Linked DNA regions of Oryctolagus cuniculus. The protein of the gene in region 2 interacts with the protein of the main gene of each other region in a biochemical or structural test. Links are inferred from orthologs where the notes say so. Each region holds a gene or a part of one and is shown on either strand. Other genes may lie near its edges.

Evidence for each region.
Region 1: the proteins of RNH1 (region 2) and ANG are reported together in a solved structure, tested with the Homo sapiens proteins (3 studies listed by BioGRID and IntAct, with this or other methods). The link is inferred for Oryctolagus cuniculus from reciprocal best matches to the Homo sapiens genes RNH1 and ANG.

The regions. Positions count from the first base shown.
Region 1 is NC_091443.1:54,100,327-54,104,067, reverse strand, and holds the start of ANG (angiogenin), read left to right. Parts: upstream 1-1,252; 5' UTR 1,253-1,385; intron 1,386-3,741. UniProt on the Homo sapiens protein: Secreted ribonuclease that can either promote or restrict cell proliferation of target cells, depending on the context. Endocytosed in target cells via its receptor PLXNB2 and translocates to the cytoplasm or nucleus.
Region 2 is NC_091432.1:186,339-190,079, forward strand, and holds the start of RNH1 (ribonuclease inhibitor), read right to left. Parts: upstream 2,324-3,741; 5' UTR 2,167-2,323; intron 1,907-2,166; exon of another isoform or gene 1-1,906. UniProt on the Homo sapiens protein: Ribonuclease inhibitor which inhibits RNASE1, RNASE2 and angiogenin (ANG). May play a role in redox homeostasis. Required to inhibit the cytotoxic tRNA ribonuclease activity of ANG in the cytoplasm in absence of stress.

The sequences.
Region 1 (3,741 bases), on a different chromosome or scaffold from region 2:
GGAGAGTGTGCAGTGGGTTCTTCTGGCCATTTCGAGAGGTTCTGAGCTTCTTTACGGAACCCGTGGTTTTCTTTTTGGCTTCTAGTTGATCCAAGGCTGCTGCCTCAAGCTTAAAAGTCAGAGAGCAAAGTCTCTCAATTGGAACTGAACCGTGAGTGGGTGCGGCCTGTGGCCTGCGGGACCCTGATGTGCAGAACACCCCCATCCCCCACCCCGTGTCCCTCGGCCCCAGTGACTGCCCGGCCCTGCACGCGCACACACATCCATCCAGGAAGCGGCGCTTTTAGCTTTTGTAGGCAACTATACATAGAGAGTGAGATTTGACGCGAATTGGGATGAAACTGCGAGAGCCTGGGTTCTGGAGGGAAGAAACAATTTGATGCAACGATGCGGAGAGAAAAACGGAATCCTGTTCCGGGCACCTGCGAGGGGCCCACAGTATCCGAACAGGCCCCAACCTGCTCACCTCCAACCTGTTTGCGCACCCCGAGCGGGCTCCGGCTCCCGGCAGCCTCGCCCGTCGTAGTAGGCGGGCACGGACACGTCCCGCGCGTCCCTCCTGGGGTCGGGACCCCACGGCCGTTCCACGGAGCTCCACACGTGTCTCCACGCGCCCCAGCGGGGTCCGCGGAGCTCAGCCGCGGCCTGAGAGCGGAGAGGCTGCCCCGCCTCAGCGCACCCTGCCTCTGGAGGGGTCTGGCGCGAGGGGGGAGAAGAAGCCAGGGCACTCGGTAAAACGGCAAGAATGGAAAAGGAAAAGTTACCGCTGGAGTAGCCTGGCGGCCAATAACTGTGCCGAAAAGCGCAATTCAGTCGAGAAAAAGCGCGTGTTTTTCGCCGTGGCTCGTTGGTCTAGGGGTATGATTCTCGCTTTGGGTGCGAGAGGTCCCGGGTTCAAATCCCGGACGAGCCCTTCAGGCATTCTTTTAACTTTAAAAAATTTTTCCCTCTCTTTGGCCATTGCTTGGAAAAAGTTAAGTTCGCTACAGTTCTCATGTTCCGATTGTCCCGCAGAAAGTAGCATTGACCAGCGCTGGGACGGAACCGGCTGGGTTTCGGGCGCCGCCCGCCAGCGCTAAGGGAAACAGGGACCACTTCCAGCCCCTGTATCCCCCGGTGGCTGGGTCAGGAGCGCGCAGCCCCGGGCTCGTCCCAGGCCTGGGCGGGGATCCGCCCGCTGCTGTGGGGCGGGGGCTCGCGACGCGGATCCAGGCGGGAGGGGCCTCCAGAGGAAAGCTGGGCGCGGTCCCGAAGACCGAGGCTCGCCCGCGCATCCTCCGCCCTCCCCGAACCCCACCCGGGTCGGTGTCCGCGAGCGCCCCGACGCCACGCACACACACAGCAGGACTGCGGCGCCCCATCGTCGTGCAAGGGAGCAAGCAGAGGTGAGAAACACACTTTCCTTTGCCCTGTCCGGCGCGCTTCTGCCGCCCTGTCCCGAGGCCTGGGTTCCCGCTGCTGCTGCTCCTTCGTGGTGGCCTGGCCGGGGGCGCCGGGGGAGCCCCTTCCTCGCACGAGGGGCGGTGTGTGGCCCTAGGGGAGCGGCTGAGGGGCCGGTGTGGAGGAGCCCACGGACGGGGAGGGAGGAAAAGTTGCGTCCTTGCTCGCGTTCGCGATTCTGCGTTCCCGCCTCGTTGTTCCGGTTGTGCAGCCAGGCGGAGATGCCGGTGTGGATACCCAGAGGGAGCCCACGGAATTGGCCAACCCAAGGGTGGCCTGCACTTGCTCAAAACTAAGGAAACCTTCGGTACCAGGTCGATCGCCAGAATTGTGAAGCAGGGCTTTTGTCCAGGTTTTTGTTTTTGTAGTTGGCAAGCGTCGCTGACATCTGGGAACTGGTGTTTTCGTTTTCTCGTGGTTCCCCGCCCTTAACCCATCCTCTCAGCCAGTGTTGCGAAATTCCTGGAGACACTGGCCAACTTTCTCCTCTCCGAGCCTAATTGGAATCCCCTGGTTATTTGCTCTGAAACGGAACATGAACCGCAACAGCGCTTGGATAAAACAAGGCATCTTTATTTAGGAGGGACTGTAAAACCAATGTCAGCACCATCCTGGGGGCTGGCGAGATCTCAGTGAGCCGTATCCCCCCTCCGTGACAGCACGAAACCTGTGGTCAAGCCATAGCAGTATTCACTAGCAACCCAAGCGAGCGGCCCACCTTATAGAAGCAGCCTCAGCTATTCAGATGAGAACTAGCGGGTAGGCAACCTCTGGTATCCAAAGACCACTTACCTGCTCAGCTGCTAACTCGTCAGTGCAGAAGTATAATTTGGTCACAGATACTTTAATTCAAGCAACTCTCTTAAGGATAGAAAGGGGAGCAACATATTTTTGGAACTTACGGAAATATTTAGTGTGGGTTTCCTTTCACCACTGACTTTCAGGGGCACCTGAAAAAAGTTTTGCTTTTCTAGAAATTACCAAAAAAAAAAAAAAGAATAAAAAGTTGTGTGGTGCATTGGAAACCTTATAGTCCCAGGAATGGGATGGTGTCAGAGATTTGTTATGTAACTCTTACATAAAAGAAGCTAAAAGCAAGTAGGCTTGCTGAATTGTCGTTGGAAGCATTTGCCAATGGGACTGAAGTTAACGTAGATGGACCAAAAAGTGGACCATTGCAGACCTTTGAAACTGTTCTTTAGGAGTTTTCACTTAATCTGTATTTCAGCAAATTGCAATCTCTGTAAACAGAATGCCTTAAAACACTTGGTAAGGGAATGTACACAAAACACAGAGTTTGTTGAAAGGTGAATGTTTAATTTTTGTCTTTGGAAATAGAGTTGTGTCAGGAGGACTCTGTTCACATTCTCACTCAGTCAATAGTGTCCTCACTTCCTGGAGGTGTGACCCTTCTTTTCATGGGAGCTTTTCCTCCTTTAACCATTACTTTTGTCACTGGATAAGTTTCATGCTTATAGACCTAAAAATATTCACATTATAAAGGACTTTAAAGGTGATCTGGTCCGTACCTTCCTTCATCAAATTTTATAATTAGTCCTCGGACAGAAATATTGCATGTATACTCTGTCTGAAGGGGGACTATATTTTCCCTAGACTCCTTGGAAGTAGAGTCCCCTGCCTTCTATGTCCATGTGCAGGAACACTCCTGGCTTGAGGGAGAGACATAGGAAAAAAATCTAGGAAAAGGGAAATGACTTTCAAGTTCAAGTTGTCAGAGCAGTTGAAAAACAGGAGTTTTTTTTTTTTTTTAACTTGGCAGTTGTTTTACATGTACTAAAATTGTGGACAAAGATATAATGTTCACTAGTCACGCATTATAGGTCCTTGTGTTTTGAAGCACTGTAAGTGTGTAGATGCATCTTAATGAAATAGGAAATCTTTTTTTTTTTCCAAAGCCCTATTTTCTATTTCAACATAACTTCCTTGTGCCAAGTTTGAAAAGAAGAACAAGAAACTGGCTTTTGCATTGTTTACTCTGTGGACAGGTTTTGATCCCCCAGAAGTTGTCAGTTGATGACCCAGAGAGAGAGAAGGGACTCCCTGTTCGGAAGCTGAAGGCTACTTCCCAGCACTGGTGGGTAACTCCACTGTCAGAGGTTTGCTCTAGTGCCTGAATTGATGCTTCTGGTCATCAGAACACTCTCTCTCTCTCTCTCTCTCTCTCTCTCTCTCTGTGTGTGTGTGTGTGTGTGTGTGTGTGTGTTTTCACTGGGGACTAGGGAGGCAGTAGGAGTGTTGCAATGAGCCTGGCAAGTCTTCTCCCTAGCAAATGAGCAGTAA
Region 2 (3,741 bases):
CTCAGCTCCAGGCGCAGGCAGCCGGAGACCACCAGCTTCCGGAAGTCCTGGGTCCCCGCTCCCTCTGCTGCCCCCCGCAGGCGGGCGGGTACGGACCCCCCCCCCGGGGGGGGGCCCAGACTCGCGCTTTGCGGCCAGGCCTGGAACGGTGGCCACACGGAGAGAACCCAGCGCGGGCCTCCTGACGGGTTACAGCCCCGGACACAACCTCATGTCCACCCAGGAACACGGTTAAACCATCACGACTCACCCGCCCCGCGCACTGGGGAAGCCAGCGTGGACCCCTGGCAGCTTGGCCTGCCCCATCACCTGCCGGCTCTCGCCCTGGGGAGGCCGCAGGTGCTGCTCCAGACTGGCCCAGCCACCAGTGCGGGAGACCGGGACAGAGCTGGCCGGCCCCTCTGGGGAGTGAAGCGCCGGGTGGAAGACCCTGCCTCTGTCACTGTCAGATAAGTCACATTTTAAAAGGAGCAGGGAGTGCCACCATGTCCCTCGATTCCACGGCTCACTGCGCAGAGACTGCGCCCTCACTGGTGAAGTTTAAGGGGTCAGAGGGGGCCTGGTGGGGCTCCCAGGCAGGCAGAGGGAAGCTGAGAGCCAGCAGGTGGCCCCGAGTCCAGGGTCACGGACACCACTTGGCAGACCTGGCCTTATCGCTGTGGTGCCCAGGGCCAGCAGTGTGGGCCGACCTGGGAGCCTGCAGCTGGGCTGTGGACTGGGGTCAGCTCTTGGGGGTCACAGGGTGAGAAGTTACTCAAGGCGGGGTGGTCGCTCAGCATGCCTGTCGCCCCCGCTGGCAGGGCCAGGGCCCCAAGTCGGAGCCCAGGTGACTGGCAGGCACAGACCACCCCCAAGGGCTCGCGAGGGCAGGCTCTGGGTGTGCCTGGTGCCACGCCAGAGCGGGGCAGGGACAAGGGCCGGGGTGAGGACCAGGGGCTGTGGGTGCACTGATCCCCGACTTCCACCGCCTGCAGCAGTGGCCGGAAGTGCTTCCGTGCCCGCCTTCTGGGACAGGCACACCCTGCAGTCAGCCCAGGGAGAGAGACCAGGGCCCGGCGCCACACCGGCACCCATGTGGGCACCGGTTCGAGTCCCGGCTCCTCCACTTCCGAAGCAGTGCCCGGCTAATGAATGGCCTGGGACGGCACTGGAAGAAGGCCCAAGTCCTTGGGCCCCTGCACCCACATGGAGACCTGGAAGAAGCTCCTGGCTTCAGCCTGGCCCACGCCCAGCCAGCCATTGTGACCATTTGGGGAGATTTCCTCCCTCCCCCCCAGCTCTGCCTTTCAAATCAATTAAAGTAGGCGTGACAGGCACCTGTCACCTCCACGCCAGCCCAACGGGCTTCGGCAGCGTGGCCAGGCGCAGGCTGTGGCGTGGGGCAGGAGGCTGCCCTGGGCGGTCAGCAGGGTCGCTCCAGCCGCCCGCCGCGGGGAGAGGGGAGAAGGCAGGTGCCCCGGGCGCCCCCAGCCCTGCGGACGCCTGCGTTAAGCTCGAGGGCCACAGGACCCCACCCCAGCCGTGTAGCCCCCAGCAGCCGGGTTATGGCACCGCCGTGACCCGCCTTTCGGACCCCCAGGCGCTCCGACATTGCCTGCGGCGCCTACGGTGAGAGCAGCCCCGTACCACGGGGCTTCGGCGGCCGCGTGAGCCCCAAAAACGTCCCGGCCCCGCCAGCGCCCCTGCGGCTCCGAGGCCCAGGGACCCCCGAGGGCGCGCCCGGGCCTCCACGACTCCACGGGGCGGCCTCCTCGGGGCGGCCGCTCGCAGGAACGAGGGCACGAGTTACGCAACTCGGGGCAGCAGGCCGGGTGGGGACAGCCCAGCCCCGAGAAGCGGACTCCCAGTCTGCTGCGCGCCGGACGCGCTCGGCGCGGTGACGTCATCGGGGCGCGCCCAACCTCCGCCGGGCGGTGCCGCCGCCCGGGGATCCCCAGCCCCACCCCGCCCCGGCAAGGCCCGCGGACCCCCGACCCCGCACCGGCCCCCCACCGGCCCCGGCTCGGGAGCGCGCGTCTCGCCCGGGCAGCCCGGGCCGCAGTGCAGCCCGGCGCGCGCCCACATCCGCGGGAGGCCCGTCCTAGGCCGCGCCGCAGCGGACCGGCCCACCCCGGCCGGACGGCCGTCCGCCTGGCCGCGGGCGCACGCGGCGCGCGAGAGCCTGACCTGGAGACGACCGCGGGCTGTCGCTGCGCGGGACACCGACGGCGGGACGGTCGGCTTCGGCGAGGGCTCCAGCTGCGCGGGGCCGGCCTGGCCGGGCGGGGCCGGCTCGAGGGGCGGGGCCGGGCCGGGCGCGTGGTGCGCGGGGCCGGGTCGCGGGCACCGTGCCTCCGACGGAGACAGGAGGCGAGGGGCTAGGGTCGCTTGGGCAGCGCCCTGAGCACCGGCTTCTGCTGGAGCGGAGGCAGGGGGGTGACCTGGCTGCGACGCGGTTACAGAGACCCCGACCAGCCGGCGGAGCTGCTGCGGGGCCCTGGGTCTGGGTCCGCTTCCCCGTGGCCAGGAGTGCGGATGCGGGGTGAGGGTCCCTGGAGACGGACGCGCCGCCCAGAGGTGCCTCTATCCCTGTGCACGCTCCGGGTCGCTCAGAGGTGCTCTGGCTAGCTTTGATTGGCGGGTGACCCGGCCGGGTGGGGTCCCTCGGCCTGGGGTTCCTGTAAGTGGTGGCTGCTGTCCGCCCTGACCTGCACTTTCCTAATGGACCCCTCAGGACCAAACTGACCAACAGGGTTTCCTGCGGGCAGCGGTCACTCCCTCACTCAGCGACAGCCGGAGGCTGGGTCCTTCCTGTCCCTGCCGGGCTCTGTCTCTGTCCCCCGTTTCTTGGCCTTGAGGCAGCAGGGCCCACGCTCGGCTTCCTGCTGTTCAAGGGGCGTCGTGTGGTGCCTTCAGGACGCACGAAGGGGCAGTGGCTGGGGTGGCTGTGGGGGTGCAGCTGCCTCACTGCCCAGAGCAGTGCAAGCTGGGGAACCGGAAGCCCCCAGACAGCTTTCGGTCATGGACAGGCCGCGCGCCGGGTCACTCTCCCGGTCACAGATGGGTAACCGGCTGCTGTGTGAACCCCAGGAAGGCCAGGGCACACCCGCCTCCGTCTCCCAGGGGAAGCCAGGCCCCGGCAGCCCCCTTCCCTTGCTCCGGGGGGCGAGGCCGTGACCTTGTGAGCCCCTCTGGGGGCTCTGGCCCCTGGTGCTCAGCCACAGTTTCTGAAGCTTCCTGGGCAGTCCCCACTGCACCCCCAGCCCGCGACAAAGCTGCTTCCAGCCAGGAAGGCTCTGGGTCTGGGGTCTCCACGTGGGTCACCCCCGCCTGCCCAGGCGCACCTGCTCAGTGACCTGCACTCGGCCACGCACAGGTCCAGGGGCAGGGGCAGGAATCAAAAGCGATGCTGTGACATTTCAGCTAGCAAACAGCACGGCACAGTGTCTCCCACAGAGCTTGCACTGAGGGGCTGCTGCCAGGAGGGGGCGGGCACACAGTGCCCGGATCCCCCAGGTCTTGAGTTCCAATCCCTGCCCCTGGGATGCGGTGGGGCCGGCGCTGGGCACGGGAACACCAGCTGTCCTGTGGTGTCCTCACCAGAAGGTGCAATCCTCTTAGGCAGAGAGAGATTGAAAGTCTTCCATCCACTGGTTCACTCCCTAGATGGCCCAACAGCAGGGCTGGGCCAGGCTGCAGCCAGGAGCCTCCTCCAGGTCTCCCGCGTGGGTGCGGGGGCCCAGGGACTTGGGCCGTCTTCAC